3 linked regions of the Caenorhabditis elegans genome follow. The protein of the gene in region 1 purifies or fractionates together with the protein of each later gene. This does not show direct contact. Each region holds a gene or a part of one and is shown in the gene's direction. Other genes may lie near its edges. The genes, in order: obr-3, bra-2 and bra-1.

Region 1 (13,164 bases):
CAAAGCTGGGAAGCAAATACAGTGTGGGAAAGTTCTATAGGACCCCCCCTAATTTGAAGGTTTGAGGAACTTCCGAAAATTTTTTTGAAAAACTGCTAATGCCATTCGTTTTTAAATTGAAAAAAACCTATATACATTTTTTTCCAGAAGTTTATCTCAAAAACTGAGGTCGCGCTGGAAAAAACGTCAAAATCCAGTGTGAAACTTCTATAGGACCCCCCGTTTTTTTTCACGATTTTTACTAAAATCAACAGATTTTGGAATTTTTGACAAAGCTCAAATCAAGTTTGAGTTAGAAATGAGTTCATATAAGCAGTTTTGACTTTAAAAATTAATACGAAATGTTCTCGTGGGATCTCCAGACTGGTTCTGATTCTTCCGATCTTTGATGTTCAAGTCTGTTTCAAGCTTCCTGGTGCTCTCGGTAATGCCAAAACTTGATAAACTCTCTTTAACAAGTTCCTACTAAAATTCCTAGCACACACACCATAAACATTTTTACGCCATCCCCAAGAAACCAGTCAGAAACAGCGCACGGAGAGAGCTTTGCGACGAGGAGCTCTTTTAGATGTACCGTAGCTCACCGGATCCTTCAGATACACGCGAATACAGTGTCGAGAACGGGAAATTTTCCTACTCATTTCATGCAGGGACACATTGAGCAATTTCATAACATCCAGCTGAGCGCGTTCAGTGTCCGAAAGGGCAGATCCTCGAGGCATTGCAAGTTAGACTGCTTTCGAAGTAAGCTTTCCAGCCTCTATATGTGTGCCACAACACATGCCACAATTCCACATTTAATAATTCACGCAAAAAATAGTAAATAACATCTGTGAGGGACAATTTAACTTGAAATATTGGTCCCATGGAACCTTGTAATCAAAGAAAAACGATTTGATTCCTGATAAGCCTTCCATTGTTTCCTGCTGCATATTTTGCCAAATCAGCTTGACTACACAGTCGAAACATCTAAAGTGCGTGCTAGGAATTTTAGTAGGAACTTGTTAAAGAGAGTTTATCAAGTTTTGGCATTACCGAGAGCACCAGGAAGCTTGAAACAGACTTGAACATCAAAGATCGGAAGAATCAGAACCAGTCTGGAGATCCCACGAGAACATTTCGTATTAATTTTTAAAGTCAAAACTGCTTATATGAACTCATTTCTAACTCAAACTTGATTTGAGCTTTGTCAAAAATTCCAAAATCTGTTGATTTTAGTAAAAATCGTGAAAAAAAACGGGGGGTCCTATAGAAGTTTCACACTGGATTTTGACGTTTTTTCCAGCGCGACCTCAGTTTTTGAGATAAACTTCTGGAAAAAAATGTATATAGGTTTTTTTCAATTTAAAAACGAATGGCATTAGCAGTTTTTCAAAAAAATTTTCGGAAGTTCCTCAAACCTTCAAATTAGGGGGGGTCCTATAGAACTTTCCCACACTGTATGAAGTGAATAATAAAACAACATGTTGAAAATTTTTTAAAACAGTTTTTCAAAGGAAAGAGCCGATAAGTTAGTCCTAATTTTCGTTTTCGCTTCACCCAAACTTGAAAATGATTTAAAACTCTGCTTATGTATTGATTTGCTCATGAAATTTGCAATTTCCCCAAGTGAAGATCCCTAGTTTTTTTTAAAATTTTTTCATAGTGTGTAATTTTTTCGAGTTTCTTTTTCAAACTACTGTTTGGAGGATATTCATCACCTTTTCTTTCTCGTCAAAAATGTGAAGTCAAAATTTTTTTACTCCAATGCTAGTTACATTTTGAAATCCTAATCCCTACTCTTACTAAAATAAATAACCAAGTTTCAACATGTTGTTTATTTCACAGTTTTATAAAAACATAACACATCATTTTCCCTCATTTTTCAAAAAAGAAAACATATTTCACGTTGAGGGAGGTTGATCAGGTGATCAAAATAAACATGTAGAGTTCACTGGTTTTTGACCTTCCAGTTTTCAAATAAAAATTTCAAGCGTTGAAATCATTTTCCCATATTCTGGTGACAAAGTCTATGAAAAAACTTGCAAAACTTATTGAAACACCTATAATAAAGCTACTGAAACATTTTGGACCAAGATCGGATAAACCGGTAAGATTTCAAAGCTGATATATTTTTCAAGTGATAGATTTATTTTTTAGAATTACTTAAAATTACTTATGTCTCAGTTTTAGAAAAAATAATAATTTAGCAATTTAATGCAAACTTATTAATAGGAAGTCAATTGTTAAACTGCAGCAGCGCTTCAAACAATTATTTGAGAAATTTTTATTTAACACACAAATTTCTATAGTTTACAATTTTTTCCTTTTTTTTTATATTCCAATTAAGATTTGATTAGTTTTATCTGCAATTTTAAGGGTTTTAGACGTGCTCCATTGCTTCAAATTTTCTGAAATCAAACTTTTATAGTTGTGTTTTATCGAGAAACGTGCGACTTCTGGGAATTTATTTAGACAATACAAAATCCAACTTCAAAAGAATCAAAATATTTTTGCTAGTTATATGTTTTTTTAATATTTACTACGAAACTTCAAGCACGTGTTTCAAAAACAATTTGTTTTTTTTACACAAAATTACTATATCTGAGCTGTTCGTTGCATTTCTGCCTTAGGGGCACTAGTCGTGACTATTTTTTGTCTGCCGAGCTGTGGCTGCAGCACCCACATATGACTTTTTTTTCAAAGAATCCGAAGATGTGTCAAGAGACGTACATAGTTATCACACTCTGGAGAAATGGAACGCAGTGCCAAACACGCATTTCCCTTTTTTGCATGCCATGGCTCTGTTTCCAGCTGAGAACTATAGTTGCTATTGAAATGAAATAAAAAGATTTTCACAAATTTATGATAGCTAAAAAAGAAAATAGTTTGAATTAGCAAGTCATCAAAACTCTTGATTTTTTTAAAATTAATATTTTTAATCCAAGTAATAGTGAGTATTAAAAAAAAACAAATCACAAAATTCTCGGCTTAAATTACAGCCCAGAGGGATCACCACCAGGCAGTGTACCTGAATCCCAGATCCGCAGTGCATAGCACTTGAAGAACGGATCGTCCTTTAATCCTTTTTAATTAATTTTTTTAAACAAAAATTTGAGACAAACACTATTTAAGAGGGTTTTCTTCTTTTTAATAAAACGTTTGTTTTACTATTTCTGAATACATCTCATTTTCGGGGAAACATGCGTAGATGCGATCCCACAAATTCAACAATATAAACTTAATAATCGCACGCGTACGAGACCTGGTTCCGGTATTTACACTCTACTTTTTTCAAAACAAGTTATTGTAGTTTTGGATTCTGAGAAAAGTTCAGGTGTTTTCTTGAAAAAAAAATGATGCGACAAGTTTTAAAAATTCGGTTTTGTTGGAATTTTTAATATTTTGAATACTTGGTACAAGTTTTTTCTTGAAATATGTTTTGTTAACAAGTTTTTAAGATGCCAAGCTTCGCAACAAGCACATTTTTTGATGTACCTTGTTTTTGAAAAATTGAAATCGGAAAAATTGAAATTTATGCTTTATACGACTTTATGCGAAAAAAAACTGCTCTTACCGAAAAATTAAAAAGATCATGGGACCATGGGGATTTCGAGTAAATAGTATTCAGAAACCATTACCTTTTGAAAAGTAGATTTTATCTAAAAACTGACAGAAAATTTTTTTTTAATTTAAGACTATAATTGAAAAAAAAGTTCATAAGTCAACTGCGAAGTCTAAAGCCTCTTATTTCACACTGCACCGGCTCTAGGTACGACCACCTAATTTGCATTTGTGTTGCTCCACCAAAATCTCCTTCGTGGCTTTTTATACGCGCGCGCGCAACAGAGAAATGTTGTCCAATTCTACTCTCTATTTTTGCCTACTTTCCCATAGCCACCGAACCGTAGAAGTACATCAACTTTCTTCTCTCTTCCTTTTCTTTTTTTTCTCGTTATAGAAATTTTATTCGTAGTCTTTTTTTTTTTTAAGTTGTTTATTCTAATTCATTTAATATTGTTTACCATCAAACAATTTTTTGAAAAATAAAATTATACAAAAAACTAGCATGAATTCAAAAAAAATTGTTTCAAAATTTTATGACTAATGCGTAACAGGTAACAAATTACATGAAAAAAAAATGAAATGGGGAAAACACAATCAAATGCTTTTTGTAGTGGGTTGTGCTTGTTTAGTAGGTGATGGTGGCTTGTCAGTTTCTGCCGTTATCACTACTCCAATTGGTTTTTTACTTTTTTTCCGGGTTTTCTCATTTCCTTTTTTGTTGGTTTCTTTTCTGTATACTAATTATGCTTGACTTCCTATTTGCGTACTTAGCTCATTAAATCAGCAGGAAGCAAAAATTAATGCTTTTTTCGTAGTAGGCTTTTGACGCGCTGACTATAGACTATTATCGTGTTGAAGAGCTGCTCTTTTTTCAAGCATGTAATTTTACAAGGACATTGAGAGTAGGAGGAGAATCGTTTTTCAAATTTCGAAAGTCTATTTCTAAGCTTTTTCATCTGCGGTTTTTTCATTCCAAAATCTTTGTGGGAAAAAAATAACTGAGTTAGCTTTTTTTGGAACGACGCATTCAGGCCATTGGAAAAAAAAAGAATTTCATTATAATATTCGAGTTCATTCATATTTTTCTTTTATTTTTTCTGAGCTCGAATATTTTTATCACGGCGCCTGATTACTTTCCCAACAAAAAAAACGTGCCTGGTTTTGAGTCTAGTGAATTTTTTTGATTTCCAATAATAAGAAATTTTAAATGCAAAATTGCGTCAGTGGGAAAAATGTTTCAAATTATCTATTTAATGCTAATCTATGTTAGGAAAAGTCAATTAACAATTTGAATTTCTATGTTTTTTATGTTTCAAAATTGTTCTAATGAGCCCGCAAGGATACTCAAAATTGTGTTTCAAAAAATAGAATTAATTGAAAATTAAATTAGGCAATTGGCTAAATCTTGACTAACAGTTTTGCAAAATGTAACACAATTAGAGTATTTTAAATGTTATTTTTTTTGCCACAATTTTAATACATTTTTACTTTAAGTTCCCTATAGCAAGACTTCAGATTCAAAAAGTCCGTCAATTTTCAAATTTTTGTAGTAGTTCAGCTTCTTGATAACGTATTAGTCATGAACGTTTTTTTTTTAAATTTTTCTGATTCTGTTTATGAAAAAAAATTTAAACAATTTTCTTTCACATATTTATTTTCTCGAAGTTTATATGCGCTGCTTCTGTTTCCCAAAACTTTTCCGCTTTCCCCCCAGTTAACCAAATAGCAACATTCCGTGAAAATGTAATATTTTCCCATGATGTTAACATTTCCTTCTTTTCCATTCTCCGTGCTCCACAAAGTTTCATTATCCCAATATCTTTCAAGGAATGTTGGAACGCCGTAAAGAGCGAAAGCTCACAATCACCTCACCAAATGAGGACATGAGAATTGTGGAGCCACCTGCTCACAAGCAGAGGCGTGCATCACTCAGTGTCGCTTATCACCGATTATTATCATTCTCGTCGTCGCCCATCAAGGTAGTGAAAGCGGACACTAAAGCTCTTGACCATTGTCTTTAGTAGAAACAGTAAAGTAGCATAGTGTTTTCTAGTGCTGTCACGAGTTTTGTACAGTGGTCACGGACAAGTATGCAAATACCTGGAATTTAGTGGGAAACATGAGAGGATTACTGATAAAAACATGAAACCTAGTATGAAATGCCTGGTGTAGCATTCTAGTTTCGAATGACCAAAAGATCAAAAAAGGCTCGCAAGGTTTGTCTTTTTTTTTTGAGTTTAAATTGAAATGAGATCAAAAATTAAAAATTTAAAACCCAATCCATATAAAATTTCGTTTTGCAGAAACAAAAAAAGGAGTATCGCGACGAGAAGAAACGCGTCAACGATGAGCTTTTGTCGGCGCTGCGCGATCCGACAGTGGTCGTCATGGCGGACACGCTCAAGATTCGCGGAGCTCTGAAACGGTGGAACCGGTATTACTGCGTGCTCAAGCCTGGACTTCTCATTTTGTACAAGCACAAAAAAGCGGACAGGGTAAGTAGTTTTATGGGCGAAAATTAGGTTAAGTGTAAATTATGTGCTGTTAAAAGTACTTTTCAAGAAATTATTTTTTCAGACATACAGGCTTCCAGACTTGAAATTGTAAATTACGGATTATATTTAATTTAATTTAATAATTGCGTCGGAATTTCTTATTTAGATTTGATCTTCAAAAAATGCGGGAGTTGAGACGCAGACATTTCATCTGATTTCGCATGGTTAAGAGCATGCTGACGTCACAATTTTTCCCGCACTTTTTGTAGATCAAACTGTAATGAGCCAGACTGATACCACGGCTATAAATTAGTTTATACTACTGTATATAAGAAACAAGTAACACTTTTTCACATTTAAACATTTTTTCTATTGTTCCCTTAAAAATTTAGCAAAACTTTAAGCTTTATTTCCAAGCAACCTACATCTGCTAAGATTTTATTTTGAGAATGCAATTTTTTTCTAGGGTGATTGGGTCGGAACAGTTCTTCTTAACCATTGCGAGCTGATTGAGAGACCGTCGAAAAAAGATGGGTTTTGCTTCAAACTGTTTCACGTAAGTTTCTTCGATTGTCTAGGTTTTCTAGGTTTGATTATGAATCTGAATCATTTTTAGCCAATGGACATGAGCATTTGGGGCAACCGTGGCCCACTTGGACAATCGTTTGGAAGCTTCACCTTAAACCCCCTGAACACATCATTTCTCATTTGCAGAGCACCCAGCGACCAGGTTAGTTCAAACTATTATTTCCAATTCTTTCTTTGTTTTTACCCCAATGAGTTCATATTTTTCTCGGCTATATTTGTTGGGCAAACATTAGCTAGCCGAAAAAAAGCATACGAACCTAAAAACGCAAATTGTTCAGGCTGGCCGATGTTGGATGGATGCTCTTGAGTTGTCATTCAAGTGCACTGGACTGCTGAAAAAGACTATGAATGAGGTAATTGGCTTTTCCGATTTCTGAAAATTTCAAAAATTTTATACAGCCTCTTGACCTTTTTCTCATTGCAGCTTGATGACAAAAATGGAGACAGCAGCATGAACGATGGTCAGAGAGATGAATCAAGAATGTCACGCGATTCCGATGGAGATGATACTCGAGAATTGGCAGTGTCAGAGACGGATGCTGAAAAGCATTTCCAAGAGATTGATGATGTCCAAGATGAAGATCATGAAGACGGAAAAATGTCAGAGACAAGTGACACTATAAGAGAGGCATTCACAGAGAGCGCATGGATTCCGAGCCCGAAAGAAGTGGTGAGTATTCATAAAAGAGCAATAATTGAAGAAAGTTAATAAAACTGTGAAGCTAGTTTTCACAAAATGTGCAACTGCAAAAATTGGCAAATGGGCATATTCTGGTTGACAAAAAATTATTGCTATAATATTTTTTGAATTGTTTATATTTTTTGAATTGTTTTTATTTAATTTTTTCATCATCTTGATCGAGAAACAAATTATTTAATCACAAAAGTAGAACAAATGGCACACGTTATAAATTTTTCAAATTGATCTGTATCGCAGCAAATAAAAATCTTTCTTTATCTGATTATCGCAAAATCAATTGTCAGTTGATGGGTGCACAAGTTCGATAGTGTTTAATTAATAGGCTGACCAAAAAAACTTTCTCAGCTTTTTTTTTGAAAAATTAAACAAACTTCCAAACTTTCCAACTGTGAAAAACTTACAAAATTGTTATAAACAACTATCAATATATTTTTTGAAATTTCATTATGAAAACCGGTGTTCCTAGGTTATTTTGAAACCATTTAGGTAATAATATCCCAACACTTTATCTTTAGTGTTTCAAATGCAAGTTTTCAGTTTGGCCCGGATGGTTCATTAACGGAAGAAGTCGGCGAAGAAAACAAGTCACTTATCTGGACACTGCTCAAGCAAATTCGCCCAGGAATGGACCTTTCCAAAGTTGTCCTCCCTACATTTATCCTCGAGCCAAGATCATTTTTGGAGAAACTTGCCGATTATTATTATCATGCCGATCTCATTTCAGAGTAAGCAATTTTGGTGTGAAAATTATTATATATTTTTGTTTCAGGGCTGTTGCAGAGCCAGACCCATTTCAGAGAATTGTCAAGGTTACCAAGTTCTTCTTGTCTGGATTTTACAAAAAACCAAAGGGACTCAAAAAGCCTTACAATCCAATTCTCGGTGAAACGTTCCGTTGTAAATGGGAACATCCAGATGGATCCACAACTTTCTACATGGCCGAACAAGTTTCTCATCACCCTCCAGTTTCATCACTTTTCATCACCAATCGAAAAGCCGGGTTCAATATCAGCGGAACGATTCTAGCCAAGAGCAAATATTACGGAAATTCACTGTCAGCTATTCTTGCCGGGAAGCTTCGTCTGACGTTGCTGAATCTTGGCGAGACATACATTGTCAACCTGCCATACGCCAATTGCAAAGGAATCATGATCGGAACCATGACTATGGAACTTGGCGGAGAGGTTAACATTGAGTGCGAGAAGACCGGCTACAGGACCACGCTGGATTTCAAGTTGAAGCCAATGCTTGGAGGAGCCTACAATCAAATTGAGGGAAGTATCAAGTACGGAAGTGATCGGTTGGCCAGTATTGAAGGTGCATGGGACGGAGTTATTAGGATAAAGGGACCAGATGTGAGTTGAATTTTTTTGTCATTACTAGATCAGGGGTCATCAATTTACGTTCGAGAATACCAGTTTTTTTCATTTGAAAATTTGGCAATTACCAAAAATTTATAAGGCTACAATTTAAGAATAAGTTAAAACTTTTGCATTTTAGTAAAAATCTTAGTCCAAAAAAAAAGAAAAATTAAAATTTAGATTAAAAAGTATAAGTTCAAAAAAGAGTTCTAGTTTTTAAAACAAAATCAATACTTTCAGCAGTTTTTTTGTTCAAGTTTTGATAGTCATTTTTCAAATTGTTTTGATTTTGATAGATGTACACTTGCTGGACTATTGAATATTACCAAAATTGCCAATCAACAAAATTTTTTTAAAGCTGGCAGTTGTAGAACTGCTAATAATTTTTGATAGCCTCTCTCTCTGATCCAGATAACAGTTGAAAAATCATGCCTGGCTATTAGTTTTTAAATCAATTTAAGATTTAAACATCTATATATAGCTTCTTCTCAAACTACGTTCACCCTCAATTTATGACTAATTTCCAATGTTCAGGGCAAGAAAGAACTTTGGAATCCCACACCAGAAGTGATCAAAACTCGGCTTCCTCGCTACGAGATTAACATGGATGAGCAAGGCGAATGGGAATCGGCTAAGCTCTGGCGCCACGTTACTGAAGCGATTTCGAACGAGGATCAGTACAAAGCTACAGAAGAAAAGACGGCTTTGGAAAACGATCAAAGAGCGCGCGCCAAATCCGGAATTCCACACGAGACAAAGTTCTTCAAAAAACAGCACGGAGATGATTATGTGTACATTCATGCCGAGTATAATTGAAAAAAAATGCAACCTTTTATTATTTTAACGCAAAACATTTCAGCTACCGCCCATGGGACAACAACAACGATATTCAACAAATTGAGAACAACTACGTGGTAAAAACGATTTCGAGGCACTCCAAAAGGAAAACGGGAAACAGTGAACAGTTGGGCAGTGACAATACATCAGAGGCCAGTGAAAGCGATGAAGAAGTGATTGAGCCAAAAATTAAGAAGAAGGAAATTGTCCCAGCGAAGTCAAAACCAATCACACCGGAGGTCGCTGATGAGCGTATCAAGGTAGGTATATTGATGATAAATTTGGTCATTTGTTTAATTGTGGGTTTTTTAAATCTCAGTAGCAAAAGAAAAAATAATACAGCTCGAATTAAGTACAGAATAGAAAAAATCAAAGAAATAGGTGGAAGCTCTGTGTTCTCGGGTACTTTTTAAACATTATTCATACAGGATCCCTTATGCTTACAAAAAGTAGTGGAAGAATTATTATTTTGGCGTGGACAGCGGTTAGTTATCACTGAATGTATGAATTTTCCAACCCATATGTAACTATTTAAAAACTGTAGACAATTAACAATTGGATCATGAAAAAGCAACATCAATAGTGTATAAATACATTTTCAAAACTCTTTTTGTTTTAGGAAATGGAGCGCAAATTTGAATTGGCTATTCGCAGAATGGAAGCAGCCAACGAAAGACAATCGTCCCGAACGTTGAACGCTATCCAGTCAACTCTGCTCTTCGTTTTTGTTGTAACCTCGGTAGTTCAATCTATTTTCATGTTCTTCATGCTTCGCAAGTGATCTGTATCAAATATTAAATATTTTGACTTGTATATTAATATTATTCAATGAATTATTTGTATTTTGTTCCTGTCAATTTGCTTATTTTGCTAGTTTCGGTTCAACTCATCGTGATTTTTTGTTTTCATTTCCTCTGAATCCTAGTCCAAACTCTTTCCCTCTTTCCATTTCAACGCTACTTCTCTTTCCCCGTGCTATGCTCCAAAATTCGTTAACCCATTTCCTGCCTTTAATTTTTTCCTATTGCTTCCTCTTCTCACTATTTTGAACCATCAATATTCATCCTATGAATCTTTTTTTTTTGCCACCTCCCAAAATTTTGTGTGTAGAGTCTGTGCCAAAAAAGATGTGTAATAAACTAATCCTACTGATCTAAGAATCCTACTGATTAGGATTCTTAGAGCAAGATATTTGGGCAGCGATTTAGTCTATCCTACTTCAAAATTTTTTAACAATAACACATACAAAGTGATGTGTCGCAAAAAACATATAGGCTCACAGAATTATAGTTACTTCAGGTTTATGAACTAATTTTAGTTAAAATATGGATAGGTAATAAAAAATATAGAAGTAACAAGAAAAAACTAATTATATTATTTTTTCTTCACAAAATCTGATCTGTATCTGTTCACCCTTATTTTACAGCTGTAATTCTAGAAAACCAATCTTGTTTCCAGCGACCTTACGATCACAGATGTTTCTTGTACCACGCACTATGGTGACCCTTCCAGATACTAACAGATGTGACCTCAGATTTTTTTTAGAACTTCAGCTATACAATTTATAACAACTAAATACTGACACCTGCTAGCAGTGTCGTTCTTTTAAGATGACACCAAAATATCTGGTGTCCGACGCCAGATGCTCTACATGTTCAACACAAAAATGGCTCATTTCAGTTCTGCGCAATGCTCTGCTTTTCATTTTTCCGTTGAATTTTTTTCTAACAAAATCATTACCTATATATAAAAAAATAGTGTCCGTTTGTTAACAAGTGACGTCATAGCTTACAAAGGCAAGGCGTTATCGGCTGTTAAAGGGATATTAGTTTGGGGTTAGTAGGGGGATATGGGCGGGGTACTGTAGTAGTACTGTAGGAGTACTGTAGGAGTACGGTAGGATTACTGTAGTTTGGGAAAAATTGTGTTTTTGTCTTTTGAAGAGATATAGGTTTGAGGTTAGTAGTGGGATATGGTCGGGGTACTGCAGTAGTACTGTAGAGGTACTTTAGGAGTACTGTAGGATTACTGTAGTTTAGGAAAAATTGAGTTTTTGTCTTTTGAAGAGATATAGGTTTGGGGTTAGTGGTGGGATATGGTCGGGGTACTGTAGTAGTACTGTAGAGGTACTGTAGGAGTACTGTAGGATTACTGTAGTTTAGGAAAAATTGAGTTTTTGTCTTTTGAAGAGATATAGGTTTGGGGTTAGTGGTGGGATATGGTCGGGGTACTGTAGTAGTACTGTAGAGGTACTGTAGGAGTACTGTAGGATTACTGTAGTTTAGGAAAAATTGAGCTTTTGTCTTTTGAAGAGATATAGGTTTGCGGTTAGTAGTGGAATATGTTCGGGGTACTGTAGTAGTACTGTAGGAGTACTGTAGGAGTACGGTAGGATTACGGTAGTTTATGAAAAATTGACTTCCCGTCTTTGGAAGGGAAATTGGAAACTTCGGGAAAATTCTGAAATTATCCAGAAGGTTCTGGAAAATTCTAGAAAATTCTGGAATGTTCCAGAACCTTCTGGAAAATTCGAAAAAATTCTGGATTGTTCTAGAACCTTCTGGAAAATTTAAAAAATGTTGCTGCGATATCTTCGTGGCGAGACCCATCGTGGCGAGACCCACCGTGGTGAGACCCATCGTGGAAAGACCCATCGTGGTGAGACCCATCGTGGCGCGACCCATCGTGGCGAGACCCATCGTGGCGAGACCCATCGTGGTGAGACCCATCGTGGTGAGACCCAACGTGGTGAGACCCATCGTGGTGAGACCCGTCGTGGTGAGACCCACCGTGGTAAGGCCCAAAATTTTGGCGGGAAATTTAAATTTTCTGAGAAAAATATTTTGGCGGGAAATTTAAATTTTCTGTGAAAAATATTTTGGCGGGATATTTAAATTTTCTGAGAAAAATATTTTGGAGGGAAATTTAAATTTTCTGTGAAAAATATTTTGGCGGGAAATTTAAATTTTCTGTGAAAAATATTTTGGCGGGAAATTTAAATTTTCTGTGAAAAATATTTTGGCGGGAAATTTAAATTTTCTGTGAAAAATATTTTGGCGGGAAATTTAAATTTTCTGTGAAAAATATTTTGGCGGGAAATAAGGTTCTGGAAAATTCTAGAAAATTCTGGAATGTTCCAGAACCTTCTGGAAAATTCGAAAAAATTCTGGATTGTTCTAGAACCTTCTGGAAAATTAAAAAAATGTTGCTGCGAGATCTTCGTGGCGAGACCCACCGTGGTGAGACCCATCGTGGTGAGACCCATCGTGGAAAGACCCATCGTGGTGAGACCCATCGTGGCGAGACCCATCGTGGTGAGACCCATCGTGGTGAGACCCATCGTGGTGAGACCCATCGCGGTGAGACCCGTCGTGGTGAGACCCACCGTGGTGAGACCCAAAATTTTGGCGGGAAATTTAAATTTTCTGTGAAAAATATTTTGGCGGGAAATTTAAATTTTCTGTGAAAAATATTTTGGCGGGAAATTTAAATTTTCTGAGAAAAATATTTTGGAGGGAAATTTAAATTTTCTGTGAAAAATATTTTGGCGGGAAATTTAAATTTTCTGTGAAAAATATTTTGGCGGGAAATTTAAATTTTCTGTGAAAAATATTTTTGCGGGAAATTGAAATTTTCT
Region 2 (8,794 bases), on another chromosome or scaffold:
ACGGGATGCTGTTTCCATCCAGCTGGTGGAGGTGGTCTCGGAGGCGGTGGAGCATGTCTTTGTGGTGGGCTCATCGAAGTCCCCGGACTCACTTCGATAAATCCAATTCCCGGTGGATCTTGAGAAGAAATCGTCTCGTTCAAGTTTAATCGCAACTCTCCCAATACATTGCCAAAATTTTGAACAGCTGTTGAATTTGCAACGGCACGAGGTGGCTTCACAGGAGGTCTTGGAGGCAACGTTGGTTCAGGGGACGATGGCTGGAAATGAAAATGTTTCGATTTTATTTAAAAAAATCAATGAAAACCTCAAATTTTGTCCTTGGTTTCGGCACTGGTGTTTCCATTAAAACGGTTCTGAAAGAGGAAATACCGATTTTCAAGAGGAAAGAGACAACTATGAACAATGTTGAGTCATAAAATAAATAAACAGAAAAAAAATTAAGATGAAACTGCAAGAAAGAGAGTGGAAAAACCGAATTCTTATATCATTAAAGTAAACAAGGAGTTGTGTGCTTTCCAGCTATAAACTTATTTTGGGCGAAATTAAAGTTAATCTTTTTAGAAAAAAATGGCATGAAAAATGTTTTGGTTTTTTTAAAATTCAAGTTTTGCAACCTAGCTGAAAGCTTAAATGATTATTTAATTAAATTTTTGTTTTCAAAACTTTTCGGTGGTTACAAAAACAGTTCTATGGGCGAATCTGATAGGATCTTATCTCGGTCAAAAAAGCAAGAAATTTTCAAAAAAGATTCCAAGTCAATCAAACGTCACATGGAATGTTTTATAGACTAAGCTTAGACCTAGGGTAAAGTCAAAACCTTTCTCTGTGAGAAAATAATTGATTAATTAACGCAAATTGAATTCGTGAGAAAAAGAGTATGTCACTTTCACGGTGAAACTGTTTCTTGGTTGGACATTACAGTGACTCAGGAAAGAAAGATACCCAGAGAGCACTGTGTACACGAAGGAGTGTGAAGATCAGCAGACACGCAGATATCCCAACAAAAGAAAATAGACGATGTGTGAGGCAGAGAAAGAAAAACAAAGAATGAGTCATCACACGAACATAGTCGATTTAAACTAACAATTGAAGAAAGATGGATGGGTTATAGAACCGCGTGAAATAAAAATGAGATTTAAACAATAAGTACAAATTCATATATTCTCGTGTAAAAATGATTGACAAACGAGGAGGATCACAGTCTAGCGAAAACATATAATAATTAAATTTTTTTGATGGCCTTCCCACTGGCATACTGTAGTCCCGAGTAGATTGTGGTGAATCCTGTGATACAGCCGAGACCAACTATGACATCATTGGCACCTGTGGAGAAGTCAAAAACTGGAGAGGAGAGCGAAAGTGCAACAAGTGTTATTTGAAGTACTGTGTTGATCTGGAAAGGGAAAAATAGAGTATCCGGTCCTAACAACACGACGAAATTTTGTTAAATACAAAATGGTGAGCTTTTTTAAAAAAGTAGTTTAACACTTTCAACTGCGGAATTTTCATCGACATTTCATAAATTTTTTTTGTCACGAATTCGTACAAATATTCGTTGAAAATGCATGTGTTGTAATTTTTTTATTCAAGTTTTTTCAAAACAAATAAATATATTTTAACCCAAAAACTATATAAATCAATAGTTCGATGGAAATTCAGCATCAACAGAAGTTTGAAACTACAGTACCCTTTGAAATATAACCACAAAAATTTGTTTAAAATTCGACACATTATAATGCATTAAGTATATTTATTGACTGTTCAAAACCAATACCATGTTCGTGCCACCAGCAATACATTTTGAACAAAATAAGCCTACCTTGCTCATCATTGTTGGTACAACTTGCATAGATGATACTTGTGGATTAAAGAATCTACTGAGGGAATATGGTGGACTCATCACTTGATACCGTTTATAAAAACCACCTCCAATGAGACAAATGTCACGCAAAATGACAACAGACGTGAGGGGTACTGAAAAACTCGCTTAATTTAAAGTTTTTCGGCCGAATTGTTTACGTGGAATGAGCCCAGCATAAGTCATTGTGATGAACATTGTTGAAATGAGAAGTTTATCAGCGACAGGATCAAGCACGGAGCCAAGCAGTGATTTTTGACCGGGTACGTTGCGAGCGATGAAGCCGTCTAGCTGAAATTTATTGACTTCCAAAAAGATTTCTTGGCAAAACACCAAAAATTTAAATTTTCAAATGGTTCTGTGAAGGAAATATGAAATAATTTGTTTTTCAGTGATTTTTCCCGAGAAAATTGAACATTTTTCGAAATTTGTCCGCATATTTAGGGTTTTTTCTCATTGAACATTTGTCATTTTTGGTTGTTTTTTCGACAATAAATCAAGAACTGTTTGATTTTCTCTGAAAAAAAAAGAGATTTACCAAGTCCGTTGCTCCGGCGACTGTAAAAAGCACGAAAGCAGGAGTAAAATTGTGTTGAACAACAAGATATCCGATGAGTGGAGTCGCCGCGATTCGTGCTGTACAAATTGCATTAGGGATAGTCGCCACTTTGTATTTGCCGCGTTCTTCCGGTGGTAGTGACTCTATTTTTGGACTTTGCTTCTGCTCCAAACTTGAAAAGTTTCGTAGCATTCGACGAGGAGTTAGCAGTAGTTGAAGCTCGCAGCGGCAAGCAATACCACGAAACATCGATGTTACTATCATTTCAACACTTCCGCAGTAACATTAGCGATTCAAATCTGAATTTCAATTCAGATCTCATATGTAAATCAAGCTTTCGCAAGTACAAAAATTCGATAAAACAGTTAGACAATCGACGGAAGTGACAACAGTCAAAAATTGTTCATTTGCCACATAAGGCGAAACCACAGAAAGTTGTCACGACATATTCGGCTAAACTAAAAATTGGTGAATACAATAAAGAAATAAATCGATCATCGAGGCAAATGAGCATTTATTTGCGATTGCGATAGCTCTGTGGTGGTCTGATGGCTTCTTCGAAGGCGAAGAGGTTAGTGTAGATGGCGGTGGCGAACTGTAAAATGTTGAATTATTGAAAAAAAAAACCCCGCGACCTAGTAAATTTTTGTTTGTTTATGGAAATCCATCCTGAATCTCACTAGCAATCGTTAATGTTAATAAAAAAATATAGTAAAATACCAACCGACGAAGCGAAGAAAACCGCTGACACTGCAAGATAGGTGTTGAACTTTCCCTGGAGCTCGCCGTAGACCTTCTTGTAAGATTGGAATGGCACTGGCATCAAGTCGAAGGTGCATGGTGGTCCCGGGTTGGCGACCTGAATAAATACGCTGCTACATTGAACCGAACAATAAACAATACGTGATGTCCGTGCCCGTGACGCTTTTGTGCAAAACGACTAAGAGCCAAGAAGCGGTTGAAAGCGGTACGGTTCATCCTGAAAACAATAATTTATTTTCGAAAGTACCAAAAATTATTGTAGATGGAAAGTTGATTAAGAAAAAAGTCTGCAAACCTCAATTTATGCTAGAAAGCAGTATATTTCGAAAACCTATGTTAATGGGGTTATTCAAGTAGTGTCGGAAAATTAAAAAGTGTAGAAAAATTACGTCACAACTGTATTCAAGTATATAAAAACATGTATTTAAATACATTTGTGACGTCACAAATGTATTTAAATACATTTTGCTACATTACTTGAATAATGATTCTATGCGCAAAAATGCCGAAATGTCTATTTTAATATATTACGAGTAATTATTTTACTTAAACCACCACGGAAAAATAAGAATAATCGATAAAATAACTTTTAAAATAGGAGAGAAAACGAGCGGGCGGCCTTGAATCGATTACGCTAAACAACATGCGCACCGTTATAACGGAGTGTCGTTGACAAATATTTGTTTCTTTCTCTGTTGCGCGTACGGTAGCTCTTTGTTATTCGTTTTTCTTGCTGTGATTCAGATTTTTAAAGTGTTTTTTTGATAAAAATAATTTCAACAGTCAATTCATGTTCTTTTATACGTATTAACTGATTTATATTCTTGATAACGCCTTGAAAACTACTCTGAATACTGTAGAACGTTCTATCGATTTTTCACAACAATTTTTTCAGTTAAACCCGTGCAAAAGATGGCCGATGGGCAAGTGCATGATGAATTGATGATGGATCAGCAACAACAGCAAGGAGTGGTTCCTCAACAAGGTGATATTCACCTATCGCCGATCGACAAGGATCTCGGAGATGCGGCGTTAGAAAATAATGTGCGGCAGGTCAGTTTTCAATGAAATTCCTGTCGAAAAATCGATTATTTTCAGTATCATCTCGATGGAGTGGTCGTCAGTGAAGGGATGAAACGAATGATAATCGACCTGCAACGTCATTGGCTCAGTGAGTATCACGCGTCACGTGAGAAGTGTCTTGTAGAGCTTACCGAGAAGTTGCATCAAGAATTCATGATGGATCAACAGAAAATTCGATCGGAACTCTTACAACAGTTCAAAGACGAGTTGGAACAGACAAGAGCCGATCTAGAAAACAAACACAGAGAGAACTTGAAGATGGAAAGTGCAAAGTTGAATGAAAAGCATAAAAGAGAGTTGGTTGCATCAAGAAAGAAACAATGGTGCTGGTCGTGTGATAATGAGGTGAGTATATTTGATTCCATCTATGAAAGCAATGATATTATCCAAATCTCAGGCTATATACCATTGCTGCTGGAATACCGCATATTGCAGTGTTGAATGCCAACAGGGACATTGGCAGACTCATCGAAAGTTTTGCCGCAGAAAGAAAGGAAACAATGCTCCTGGAGCACCAAGTGTACCAGCTCCTCAACAAGTCGGAGCACCAATGCCGCCACAACAACAATAATTTTCTTTCGTTTTAACTCTCTAATCATCATTATCATCAATCTCACGTCAGAACACGAAACTGAATAAATTTCAACCACCCACCACCGCACAAATGCGACGCTGATCTCACCCACCACGTCTATTTATATTCCAAATCCTAATGAGTTTCTGTTATTCTTCATCTTTATCAATTTGTCGAACTTTCTATGTTTTCCTTGTTCAATAAAAAATTTAATTAAATTGATTTATGGATATCGTGTTAACAGATATCGAGTTAACACACGCGTCTTCATCTGCGGAAAACTTCTTTTCTAGGCCTATTAGGAAAAATGTGTGCCAAAAGTCAGAAGAAAAGTTTAGAAATGTGGAAATTCTAAAAAAAATTTTTTTCAGTATGGGTATTAGCCCAAACAATGCAAATTTTCTAAAAACACTTGTAACTTGAATAATATTGCAGTTGGAGGTACATACTTGAATAACCCCATTAAAAATAAACTTAAGCATCAAAAATTTTTGGTTTTTTTGGTTTTTCGAAAAATTCAATTTTTTGTTTTTTTGGTTTTTCAAAAAAATCAATTTTTTGTTTTTTGTTTTTTGGTCTAAAATTTTTTTGGTCCCAGCCCTGCACAGTACCACTACAGTATCCCAACAGTATCCCCCACTAACTACAACTACGTCCGTAGCAAAAGAGTAAAAAGTAGTAAAAGATCTGTGTAGGCAACTCGTAGTAAAAGAGATCACGTAGTAAAAGAGCCAACTGTAGTAAAAGATCTGAATGCGGAATTCGTAGTAAAAGAGATTCTGTAGTAAAAGAGATTACATAGTAAAAGAGATTCCGAGATATTTCGGCGCCAAAACGGTAGGAATTCTCGTGATCTCATGGTTTCTTAATACTTCTTATGAAATCTTACAATTGAATGTGTTCGTGTTTCCTAAACATCATTTACTATATATAAAGCGCGTGTCCTTCTGTCCCTATGTAGTTTGATCTCTGATCAGAGCAACGAAATTTTGGGAAACCTTATGCTAAATGCGCAGCAGACATCGATCGAGGTCCGCGATAGACACCGTATATCTAATGTGTTTTCCCAAAAAAGTCGGGGGCCGCGCCGTAGGTGCGGTCCACGGCTGGTTAACACATAAATCTTTTCGAAAACTATAGTAATCCGCTAAACTGTCACGCGTTAAAGATAAGAGACGGTCTTTGTTCAAGTTTATTCGAAATAATTATTTAAATTTATATAAAATCAAATCGTATTAATAGCCAAGTCGAATTGAAGCATCGATAGTTGTGTGGACGCCTTAGAAAGCTCGCCAGTGATTGTAGAATTCGCCAGATTTTCCATTGTTTTCGAGAAAAATAGCCGAAAAACTTGGCTTGTATCGCCTTGTAGAATCGATAAAAGTAGTTGCTGGAGATCAGAAGTTGAGAAATAAGAAGTTACCTGAATTAATAAACTTTTGAGTTTTCATTCAACTCCAAATCTCAGGTCCTGACAGGGCCTAAATTTTTCTGCTAAAATACATGCCATGACTTTGGTTGACGAATCCTACTTTCTGCGATCATTTTTTGCATTTATTAGGATGGGTCTCACCTTTTATTATTTTCAGTTTAGGTCCCTTTTGCAGTGTTTTTTTCCACTTCTACAACTTCAAAGGGGGGTCGCAATTACGGGGAATGACCTCACCACGCGCCATATTTCAAAGTTGTAGAAGTGAAAAAAATGCATTGTAATTTACTATAGACCAATGTTTTATCCAACGTCTACGCGTAGTCAACGTGTTCTTATTTTTGTTAGGGGAAGAGGCTCATTTGGTAGTGTAGTTCCTGTAGAAAAATATTCAGAAACCATGAGATTATGAGAATGCCTACCGTTTCGGCGAGCGAATATCTCGTAGCGAAGGTACCTAAACCTCTCTTTGCCACATGTTCTCTTACTTTAGCTACCACTATTTTTGCGCCAGAAAGTCTCATGAACTGATGATAGTTATGACGTCAATTTCCACCATTCAAACACAAGGACACTTTGGTTACCAAATGCTTACAGTATACTTAAACGTATGAACCTAAACTTTTACGATCGTCTCGAGATGCAATCTGCTCCGCGAGACCCCTTTCGATTAGTAATTCTACCTTCAAGATCACCAGAGTTAACATATTCCGCGTATTATAATTTTCGTTATAAACACTCCCACCGTCTGCATATCACTTTGCAACACTGCGTATTTTTTCGTCAAATCAGTCAGCTTCTGTGTCTGAAAACCATTACAGATCCACGTGGACTCCAATAACAGACGATTCAGAACTTGCTCAACTTGCATGTAATTCAATCTTGCCGCCATTGTTGCATTGTTCTGAAGTTCCTGACTAAGCTTATAGGTGCACTGAGATTCTCGAGGCGCCGGAGTCGGAAAAACAAATGGGGGAATAGTTGGCAGATTTTTCTTTAAAAAATGTTTTATTTTTTTACAGCGCACTGAAAACATACCCAAAAGTTTGGATCTAGAGTTGGTATTTGTAATGGGGGTAGAGTCGGAAGATTCAGATTTTTCTGAAATTTAAAATCGTTTTAAAATTTATAAATTTTTGCACACAAACCCAAAAGTTTGCATCAAGTGTTGGCCACTGAATAGGCGATATTGTCGGAAAATTCTTCTTAAATTATAAAAAATATGAAAAAGTGTGTCAAATTTTTTCAAACTTGCCCAAAAATCTGGATTTATTGTTGGCAAAACGATTGGCGGAATTGTCGGTAAATTATTCTAAAATTATTGTCATTGGGGGTGAAATTACGCCAAAATGCTTTTTTTTTTTACTTTTTTTGCTGGGTATTGATGTAAATCTGTTTCAGTGTATCAGTCATGATATTACATTTGAAAATTATTTATTTTTTGACCACCTAAAAAAACTTAAAAGGCTTTAGAGAGTTTTCCGTATCGTCCGTTCGCGAAAACGTAATTCTAGGTGCAAAATGTTACATGATGAATCTTGGCTTTTTTCTGTATAATTAAAAATTTTGAACTTCACGAACGTCATTCACGCGCTTCTCACGCGGCTCTGCCTTCTCTCTTAAACTTATGCATAAATTGAAATGTAAGAGTTTGCCGAACTAGGCCATTTTTCTACATCAACAAAAATCTCTAAAATCTGACACCTAGGCCACTTTCGTCTGAGATTGTACTCTTAATCATCCACAATTCCTATAATTTGAACAAAATCTGTATCAATTCCGAACCGGAACTTTTTTTGCCACCTCTAAAAAGTATGGGAAAGTCTGGCTAACTTACCCAAAACATGGGATCAATTGTTGGCAAAACGATTGGCGGAATCGTCGGTAAATTCTGCTGTAATTTATTGCGCGAAAACGTTGTAATTTAAGAAAAGACGCCAACTCACCCAAAAATTCGGATCCAAAGTGGGAAGAGCAATAGGTTCCACAGTTGGAATGTTTTTCTGAAGTTGTATATTTTTAAACCGGGAAATTTGTGAGCTTTTCTAACTTTGCACAAAGTTGGAGTGATTCACGGAAAAGGACGTCACTTAAATTTTATAGTGCAAAATGTTCGCAGTGACTTCAAAAAGAGACAGTAACTTAAGCGGCGAAGTTCAGCTCCTATCTTGGCTGTCACTAAAATTAGTTAAAGTTCCTATATCTACTGTGGATGTGGTTTGTAGTGAACGATTGAAAATGAAAATATTATTAGGCCCCAGCATGTGGCATATATTCAAGCAAACTTTTATTTTTTGGAAAATTGAGTTTTATAGTCGTCAGTGTACCGTTCTCCTTTTTCGAAAAAGAGAAGACACAAAAACGTGTATACTAAAATTGTGATGTAGATTGTCGGCTATAACAAATTGAATTTACTTATTCTTATCCTTGAAATCTGTGGAAATTTTCACAATTGTTTGTCACCCCGTTCTTTTTCTATGAAACTGTATTAGCTCGCATCAAGTGGTGTCGGAGTGGGTAATTTTG
Region 3 (8,646 bases), 200 kb from region 1:
GATTTGGAGCTAGTTGAATATAGTTTAGATCAAGTTTCACGGGCGATTTCCTTCAAATACTCGTTCACTTCAGCCTGGTCTGGAGCATCTGGCACCTCCCAAGATGATTCGATGGGGTTTCTGATCTTTGTCTTGCAAATCGGGCATGAGAAATCGTGGCGGTATTCCATTTCGTTGGCGATGCATCGGATGCAAAAGGCGTGGAGGCACGGGAGAAGCAACTGAAAAATAAATAAAATATCTTTATTTTTATTTTTCAATACTCCGTATCTACTATTTACAGTTTTTTATTCAAATATGTTCTTTATGAGAACTGGAACTTTGGAAATATTCCTTGAGCTCAAATGAGTTTACCGATATGAATCCACAGATAAAAATTTGCGGAAAAATGCCTTAAAATTATCCAAAGTAAACAAGTTTGGGATTTCATAATTGTTCATTTCGAAATCTTGATCGATATTTTCTCAAACTCATGTTAATGAACCAGTAGAAGAAAAGTTTTTAAATATGAGGAGCACTACCAAGGTTTTAGATTCCAAAATACAAAATGTACGGACCCACTAATGAATTAATTTTGAATACGAAATTGAAAACTTACATCGTTGATGTTTTCCATACAAATCACGCAGTTACCCTCGACATCCGATCTGCAAAAAAAAGTTGAAGTGACCTGTGAAAAATTTTAAGGTTAAAATTTACTAACGAAACAGTCTTAATTAAAATACATTTTCTTTCCAAATATAACGATATCAGTGTATACTTTTTTCTTCGTGTAACTTACGTTTGAGTCAAAATGAATTGACTAGTCGACATGGGATCCACGCTTCTTTTACGGCTTTCCTTGTTGGTGATCATCAGCTTATGTAGATCATATGTGGAGAGAAACTCGCGAAACGTCAGCTCCTTGTAGTTTAACACTTGCTTCGACATTTGATTAACCTGAAAATTTATTTTTTCAATGTTCGATTTGTACAATGAAACTACTCACCTTGCAGCAGAGAATTTTAATCTCTGACTTCCAGTTTTCATATCCTTCACGCTGATAGTCAATGTTCCGGAGAGCGAAGGCCAAGTACTCCTCGTTTTCGACAAGAAGACTGCGATAACTGAACGAATAAAATGTTAGTTAAGGTCGTGACGCCATATTTCGTAATGTTTGGGAAACTTCCGAGGAATCCGATCTTTGGTGCAGGGTTCATAAGCAAACACTTCAAAAAATGTTGCGAAAAGATTGTTTCACACTTTATGTCCAAATTATTTTTCGAACACCGCTAAGGAAAGCCTTTTTATTTATAAATTTTTAATTGTTGCTGTATAAAAAAAATAGTGGTATTTTCAAAAAGATTAAGGAAATTAAAACATTTGGAAATTATATTTGATTTTTCAAATTATGAATTATAAATATTGCAACCAAATTTGACTCTAACAAAAAAACATACTTTCGGTTCATTTCCTTAATATCGGCCAAAAATTCATCCCATGTGCATGACTGAAATCGTGGATGTCGTTTTGATTGATTAGTACCCATCCTGAAAAATATTTTATAATTTAATCTATTAATTTACAAGAAAAACGTATGTTTATGCGGAATTAGTCATGCAAAACACATGACATCAGGAAAATGGTTCAAATAAACTGCGAGCAGGGTGGAAGAGCGGAGTAACGTAGTGCGAGAAATTGAGTGAAACGAGAGACACAGAGAAACATAAGAAAACGTATCGCATGAGTCCCTTGCACTCGTGAACAGTGAGCAAATTAATTGTATGCAAAAAAGGCAAGCACACAAAGTGCAGGAAATATTCTGGAAATTAAACGTATAAAGACATTTTTCTAACAAAACAAAAAGTTTAGTATTTTATGAATTATCTAACAATGTAAGTCATTCTATAAACGTTGTCATCATACATCATACCACTTTTGAACTATCTGTTTTATCCAGCTTGTAAAAATCAGGCACCTCTATTTGAAATTTTTTCGTACACAAAAAACTGTTTTTAATAAATGATTACATAGGCACATTACGCGTCTTATCATATGGTTGTTAACCTGTTCAGCAGATAGAAAAATTGATAACAACGGAAATGAGTCATGTAAAATCGATCCGGCCTAACATAATTAGCCGAGCTCGGAAAGTTCCGCAAATCTACTTTTTTGAAATTTGCCGAGCCCGGCAAACGGCAAATTTGCAGCACACCTACTCAGATAAAGATGAAGCCGATTAGGATACATCAAGCAGATCAGTGCAGAAAAAACTGATTGTCCCAACCGACTTGAGTATCTTCGGAAGTCAATTATAGTCTAGTTAACTTAGTTAACTTAGTTAATTGTCTAGTCAACTGCAATCCACAGTCGAAAAAATGCTCACATAAAAAAGACATAAAAAATTATCACATTTTCCTAGTTTGTTAAGCACGGCAAATATTAAAAAACGATATTTGCCGAATTTTCCGAGCTCTGAACTGTAGAACTGAACTGTACATTATCACCCATTACTACCCTTCGTTTTGTTTCATAGGATCCAACAAATTTGGGCGTCAAGAAAAGAGAACGAATTGCAAAAAAACTGCAGCGCCAATATTTTATGGTTCTCATCTTTGCGATATTTTTATGTGCACCGCCGCCCTCATCTATTGCCGCGTTGGAAGGAAAATATACGATATTCAATGCTTACTTCAAAATTTATTCTGGATATTTTTGAAAATCTCGCAGACGTGTTCAGTCAGCATTCGTGGTTGAGGATATCGAACACAAAAAAAGATATCATCGATCACGTGTGATGACAGATTTTCTGCGACTAACAGGTTTGCTTAATAAAAGTTACTAAAACGCTGAAACTTCTGGAAATCATTTTAATACTGTTTTCTTAAGATATCTTTGCAAAACTGGAAAAATACCAGAAGATAATCAAAGTCAGTCAACCCTCTCTGTACATTTCTGTCACATTCCTTCTGTTTTTCTATTTGGTGCGTAAAAAACGAATATTGTTTTAAAAAACAATATTTATCCCTAAAAATTTCCAACAAGAATTTCCACATATTTCTCTTGATATTCAATTTTTCAAAATTTTCGGCTAGCTGGGCTCTAATTTCCGTTAGTCACAAAATCTCATTTCCCGTTTTGCGAAGCCCTTCAAGCTTCAATAATACACCATTTCAGCCTACGAGAATCATAAAAATTTTATGATTAACTACGACGTAACCAAGGGTATCTGAGCTTTTGGGGCAATCTTTTGAGATTTCAGTTTTGTTTCCAAAATGTAATAAAACATTTTCCCAGTTTAAGTTTTTTGTTAAAATTTTAATTTTTTCCTGTGTCGCACAGCAACAAGGCTTATAATTATAAGAAAAATTTCTAAGAATACGTTTTCAAAAAACTCATTTTTTCTTGATTTTCTTTTTCAAATATTCATTCTCAAATTTTCCATATCCACCCGGAAATTTATTTAAGTGCGTCAAACACAAATTCAAATTCTTCCTTTGTTTTGTAAATCAAAAAGTCAGATACGTCACAACGCATTCTGTTCAAAAAATGTAGTCTGTGAGCAGGTGACCAGAACCTTCCATCTCTCAATAATCTCTTCTTTATCCTTTCATTAGACTGCGCAACGCCCTCCGGCTCATGACCACATATCGACTCGCCTCATGGGCTCATTATCTGCCATTTCCTTTCTCTCTGCTCTCTCTTTTGCTTTACCTCTCCGCTATCTCTCTACGGTCGTCATTTGAATATTACCTCGAGACAGCAGACGGCCGTCTGCTCAGACTGGTGTAAACCAAGAGTGCCGTAATTCCGGAGCATCGTTGTATCTGCGTGGAGTTGAGGGGTTTTAAACGCTTTTGTTATTTTCTTTTTTATATCGGTGCTGACGAGAGTTTTTATTTTTGATTAGTTGATTTAATTTTTTTCCAGAGAAACACAGTTATTTACAGAAATGTCGGAAGAAGCTGAAGCTGGACCATCGCCAAAAGTTAATGGGGAAAATGGAAACGGAACAAATACGGTAAGAGCTTTTTTTTTTGAAAAATATAACAGAACAACTTTCACTAAAATTTTTCACCGGGAAAAAATTAAAAAAAATCATCTTTACAGTTCGACGACTTGTACGTGGATGACAAAATGCGTCGAATGATTGTCGACCTTCAGCGTCAATGGCTCACGGATTATCACGATAGCCGCGAGAAATCTCTCGTTGCTCTAACTGAAAAAGTAAGTCAACCACCCCAAAGTTTTAATTTTAGAAATCTATATTTTAGCTCCATCAAGAATTCATGGAAGATCAGGAGCGAGTCCGTCGCGATTTGTTGGTTCAGTTCAAGATAGAGCTCGACCAGACAAAGGAAGAGCTGGAGAAGAAGCACGCGGAGAATCTCAAGGAGGAGATTGAAAAGCTGTCGGAAAAACACCAAAGGGAACTTGCTGTCGCTAAGAAGAAGCAGTGGTGCTGGCAATGCAACAGCGAGGTGAGATTTTATGATTTTATGATTTTTTGATTTAGACGGGTTCTCTATTTAAAAGATGTAGAGTGTTGCCAGATATTTCAAAATCTCTAACATCAGTCTGAGTCGTGATACCAATGTTCATAGTACTATATCTTATTTGTAAGCTAATTTTCTTTCGAGCATGAAAATAATTCTTTTGCGCTCCAGTGCTGTATTAATAACGCTAGACCTGAAACATCATGATCATATTTCAGGCAATCTATCATTGCTGCTGGAACACTGCTTATTGCAGCGTTGAATGCCAACAAGGACACTGGCAGATTCATCGCAAGTTCTGCCGCAGAAAGAAGAGCAACGGTGGAGCCCCAGGACCAGTTCAGCCAATTGCTGAGCCTACTCAAAGTCAACAATGATTGAAACTTAAATAATATGCTATCTGCGAGCCGGAGGCCCTTTGAAAAGTAACAAAGCTTGTGTCAGGTTTTCGAAGTTTATCTCATCACACATCCCGTTTTCTGTGTTACTACTGTATATCTTCTCTCCAATAACATGCAATATTTTTCTATAATCCCATGACAACAACAATTTTAAGATCTTCTATATAAATCCTGTTAATTAGGAATTTGGATCAATTTCGGAGAGATCTCAAACTTGTGTTAATTCCTTCGAGAAATAATCAAGAAATTATGTGAATAAAGTTTATTTTGATACACATGTCCTTTTGGATACTGTAAATGTGAAAGATGACAAAATGAAAATGTTCCTAGACACTTATGGGGATCAAACGTGTTTTCACATCCGATGTGTATTGTATAAATGTAAACAATTAACGAAGATATGAATTGACATAATGAATTGAGAGTTATTCAACCTCTGCAATTAAAATGAATATAAACTTCTCTGAAAAACTATTTCAGAAAGCACCCAAAAATTCAAATTAGAAGGAGTGCTATGAAATTTACACGGATTGTACAACAAATATACTTTGTTTGAGTTTCAACAACGAAACGAATAGAAATTGCGATTTGTGAATAAATGAACATCGTTTGAGTATGTTTAACAACTTGCGATGCGATAATAATAGTAAATCTTGCTCAATAATGTGTAAGTGCTTTACTATTCATCAGACCGATTCCTAAATAAGGTTTGTCGATTTTTCAGAATTTTTCCGTAAAGTAAATCTAAATTAATTTTGAATTACCGATAATTAGGCTTTTTTCAGAATTTTGTCGCATTATTTTCGCTTTTCAACTCTTCTTGACGGAAAAAAATCGCAATTATTTTTACACTCGCCCTCTTGATTCGAAGCGTTTTTTGTTTGAAAAATTCTTTCTTTTCCTATCTCCGCAAGATGAAAAAAAAAATTACCTTAACCTATCTTGTCGTAGTACGACTAAAACTTGTAAAATTGTAGAACGCAAGTTCTGTTCATAACTAAAATAATTAATTACAGGAAAATGCATCCAAAGGAAACTGCCGATCAGGCGCCAGCCGACAGTGCCAATATACAGCAACAGCACACCGACACCAACATGCCAGCGGTGGAGCCAATGCCGGAGAGACAACGCCCATCGGATGTAGTTGGAGATGAAATCATCGTCTCTACTAATGATGACAGCGACGTCACAGAACCGGCCAAGAAAAAACACAATAGTGTCAGTCCAACAACTCCACCCGCCAAGCCGAAGGAACCAGCTCCAAAAACTTCATTGAGCAAGAGCGATAGCGGTTCGGCAGACGAGTTGAAATGTTAGTAATTAAAGTTAAATTATCTCACATTAAAAACGCTAATTCTAGATTCGAATCTGCTGGTCGAAATCGCCAACATCAACCATTCAGTTAAACAGCTTCTAACTGATATGGATACGGTGAAAGAAGATGTCAACAACACCAAGAACGCTGTCTCCAAGATTGAAACAACAGCACTCAATGCTGAAAAGCTTGATGAAGTGTACGGGATGATACACGAGATGCGTGGAATCCTCTACGTCATTGCTACGAAGGTGGATGAAATCCATCGAGCGAATGGAATTTCCACCATCAACGCCAACGTCGCCACACAAGGTGTAGCCGCAGCAGCTCCACTTAACGTCACTCCACCATCATCAGCAGCGGTCAAGCAGGTCACAAAGGTAACAGTGTAAAAGTTGATAAACGAAACTAGAAAGTTACAATTTCAGTTTTGCCACTTGTGCAAGAGAAACAACCATGCCACTGAAAACTGCCTCAAGTTTTCTTGGTTCCTACCTCGCAGAGAGCAAGCCTTTAAACGTAGGATGTGCATCAGATGTATGGAAACCGGAGTACGCAACACAGCGAATGTGCACGTCAACTGCAGCATGGCTCACGTGGAGTGCCCTTATTGCGCTGCTCTTTACAATGATCAGAAAGCGAAGTGTCACAACATCACGTTCTGATCTACCAAGTACAAAGAGCCACAATACAAGCCACGAGCCAACAAACGCCCGTCGGACAAGGTGAGGATGAATAATTTTTAACGTAATACCAAAAACCAACAACTTACAGCGTGAAGAAGCTGGAAGCCCAAACTATGTTCCTCTTGTAAAACGCAACTAGGCTGTTCACAGCAATCACAACCACAGCAACCACAGCAATCGTTAATTGTTTAACTTATGTACATTAATTCATTTTTCCCGTGTTCCACTGTTTTTAGGCATCCGACAGGGCCTCCACACATCTCACTTTTTTAATTCAAACTGAAAAATGTTTTTTGATATTCTTTATTTTTCTTCTTATTTCTCCTCATTTCATCTCATTTTTCTTATTTCTTATAGCCCTTTACTATTATAATGGCTTTTGTCTTATCTACGCTTCTCAATTTTCATTATTCTTACTTATACTATATTTACCACATATGAGTTGTCCAGTATGAGCTCGATCGTTAATAAATACTTTTATATATTTTTGCGGAAATTCAAAAGACATTTTTTTAATTTCTGAAAAATTTAAAAAAAAAAGTATATTTATTTATTTAGAAAATTCTGGATTTTTAAATGGTAAAGTTTGGTATATTGAGACTGTTTTTTAATTTTTTTTAGGCTGTAAAAAGAAAAATGGGCAACGCGCGCGGACACTCGTTTTGCACTTACTATTAAAAAGAGACGGGGTAAAAAAAAATCAAAAAGAAACAGGTACAAGCTAGACGGGAAAAAGTTCAAACGTCAATGATGTAAAAATTTTAGACATCTTGTTATGTTTAGTTATGTTTCAGACATGTTGAAAAAAAAAGTTTTATTTTTCAAATTTAAATAATTTGAAGTGATTTGTCCATTTGTGCAAACAATAATTTTGAAAATCAAAAATAACATAAAAATTATTAAAAAACATGTTCTTGATGCAGCAATTTTTAATTTTAATTTCAAAAAAGTGTTCGAAAGATACTCACAACAAAGTGTGTCTTCCAAAAAGTCTTTATATAAAGATGGCTGAACGTCCGAAAACTGATGAACCTATTTGAAAATCAGTAAAACTAGCCAGAGAACGGCTTAAAACGGCTCAAAAAACGGCTCAAAACATTCAAAATTTGCACTCTCAGCGAGGAGTCACTTATCATTGATTGTAGACAAAAATAAACAAGAAATATACTCCAGTTCGCGTTCCCCACGGTTCCTTCTTTGTTTATTTTTTCTTACATTCTCTTTCTCAAATATCACATTCAGATAATCTCAGAACAAAAATGTTTAATACAATGATAGTATGAAGAAAATTAGAAGTTTTTAAATATTAAATCAAATCCGATGTTTAGTCAAAACTTCAACCAAATACATCAAAAGCGCATAAAAATGAAGCAACAAAACAAAGTTTATTCAAAATACAAAACAAGACAACTTAACAATATTTTTACTGCAGACACTATTAGCGATCTTGTTTGAAATTTTGAAAAGCTCGATTAGAAATTGTAAACTTTTCAAACGAAACCTCACAAAAAAGCAAACTGAGATTATAATAAAAACTGGAATCAATCAACAGAGCGGTTACCAAATTCTTCTAACGACGGGGAAGTTTGATGCCGGTTTGATACTCGACAGGGATCAAATGTGTCATCACCGAAGTACCTTTGAGCAAGTACATTGCAGCGGTTTGAGTGCAGTCGAGATTGATGTATCCCTCGGAATCCTTTGAGATTTTATACTGGAAGTTGTTGCTTGGTAGGCATCATCAAACGATTTCGAAGCTTACCATCGAA

What was found.
Region 2: the proteins of obr-3 (region 1) and bra-2 purify together in Caenorhabditis elegans (affinity purification with western blotting, with the first as the bait; one study listed by BioGRID). This does not show direct contact.
Region 3: the proteins of obr-3 (region 1) and bra-1 purify together in Caenorhabditis elegans (affinity purification with western blotting, with the first as the bait; one study listed by BioGRID). This does not show direct contact.

Annotation. Positions count from the first base shown.
Region 1 is NC_003284.9:13,795,783-13,808,946, reverse strand, and holds obr-3 (PH domain-containing protein), read left to right. Parts: upstream 1-5,371; 5' UTR 5,372-5,375; coding exon 5,376-5,525; intron 5,526-5,849; coding exon 5,850-6,041; intron 6,042-6,507; coding exon 6,508-6,597; intron 6,598-6,657; coding exon 6,658-6,771; intron 6,772-6,907; coding exon 6,908-6,982; intron 6,983-7,053; coding exon 7,054-7,299; intron 7,300-7,866; coding exon 7,867-8,054; intron 8,055-8,098; coding exon 8,099-8,684; intron 8,685-8,977; exon of another isoform or gene 8,978-9,171; intron 9,172-9,224; coding exon 9,225-9,496; intron 9,497-9,549; coding exon 9,550-9,787; intron 9,788-10,001; exon of another isoform or gene 10,002-10,022; intron 10,023-10,146; coding exon 10,147-10,308; 3' UTR 10,309-10,718; downstream 10,719-13,164.
Region 2 is NC_003281.10:907,184-915,977, forward strand, and holds bra-2 (MYND-type domain-containing protein), read left to right. Parts: upstream 1-4,077; 5' UTR 4,078-4,094; coding exon 4,095-4,235; intron 4,236-4,280; coding exon 4,281-4,610; intron 4,611-4,662; coding exon 4,663-4,836; 3' UTR 4,837-5,060; downstream 5,061-8,794. Other genes in the region: F23H11.4 (Rho-GAP domain-containing protein), read right to left, coding at 1-260, 308-346; crls-1 (Cardiolipin synthase (CMP-forming)), read right to left, coding at 1,226-1,396, 1,823-1,977, 2,023-2,152, 2,400-2,684; F23H11.5 (Deltamethrin resistance protein prag01 domain-containing protein), read right to left, coding at 2,935-3,015, 3,145-3,279, 3,324-3,398; idpp-13 (DUF148 domain-containing protein), read right to left, coding at 6,065-6,262, 7,014-7,262, 7,307-7,369, 7,417-7,473, 7,524-7,580, 8,106-8,162, 8,215-8,271.
Region 3 is NC_003284.9:13,594,540-13,603,185, forward strand, and holds bra-1 (MYND-type domain-containing protein), read left to right. Parts: upstream 1-3,909; 5' UTR 3,910-3,931; coding exon 3,932-4,000; intron 4,001-4,089; coding exon 4,090-4,206; intron 4,207-4,253; coding exon 4,254-4,460; intron 4,461-4,693; coding exon 4,694-4,852; 3' UTR 4,853-5,148; downstream 5,149-8,646. Other genes in the region: F54B11.5 (RING-type domain-containing protein), read right to left, coding at 30-221, 599-647, 782-939, 989-1,106, 1,440-1,528; F54B11.7 (CCHC-type domain-containing protein), read left to right, coding at 5,897-6,188, 6,237-6,571, 6,620-6,856; F54B11.8 (Yippee domain-containing protein), read right to left, coding at 8,448-8,591, 8,640-8,646.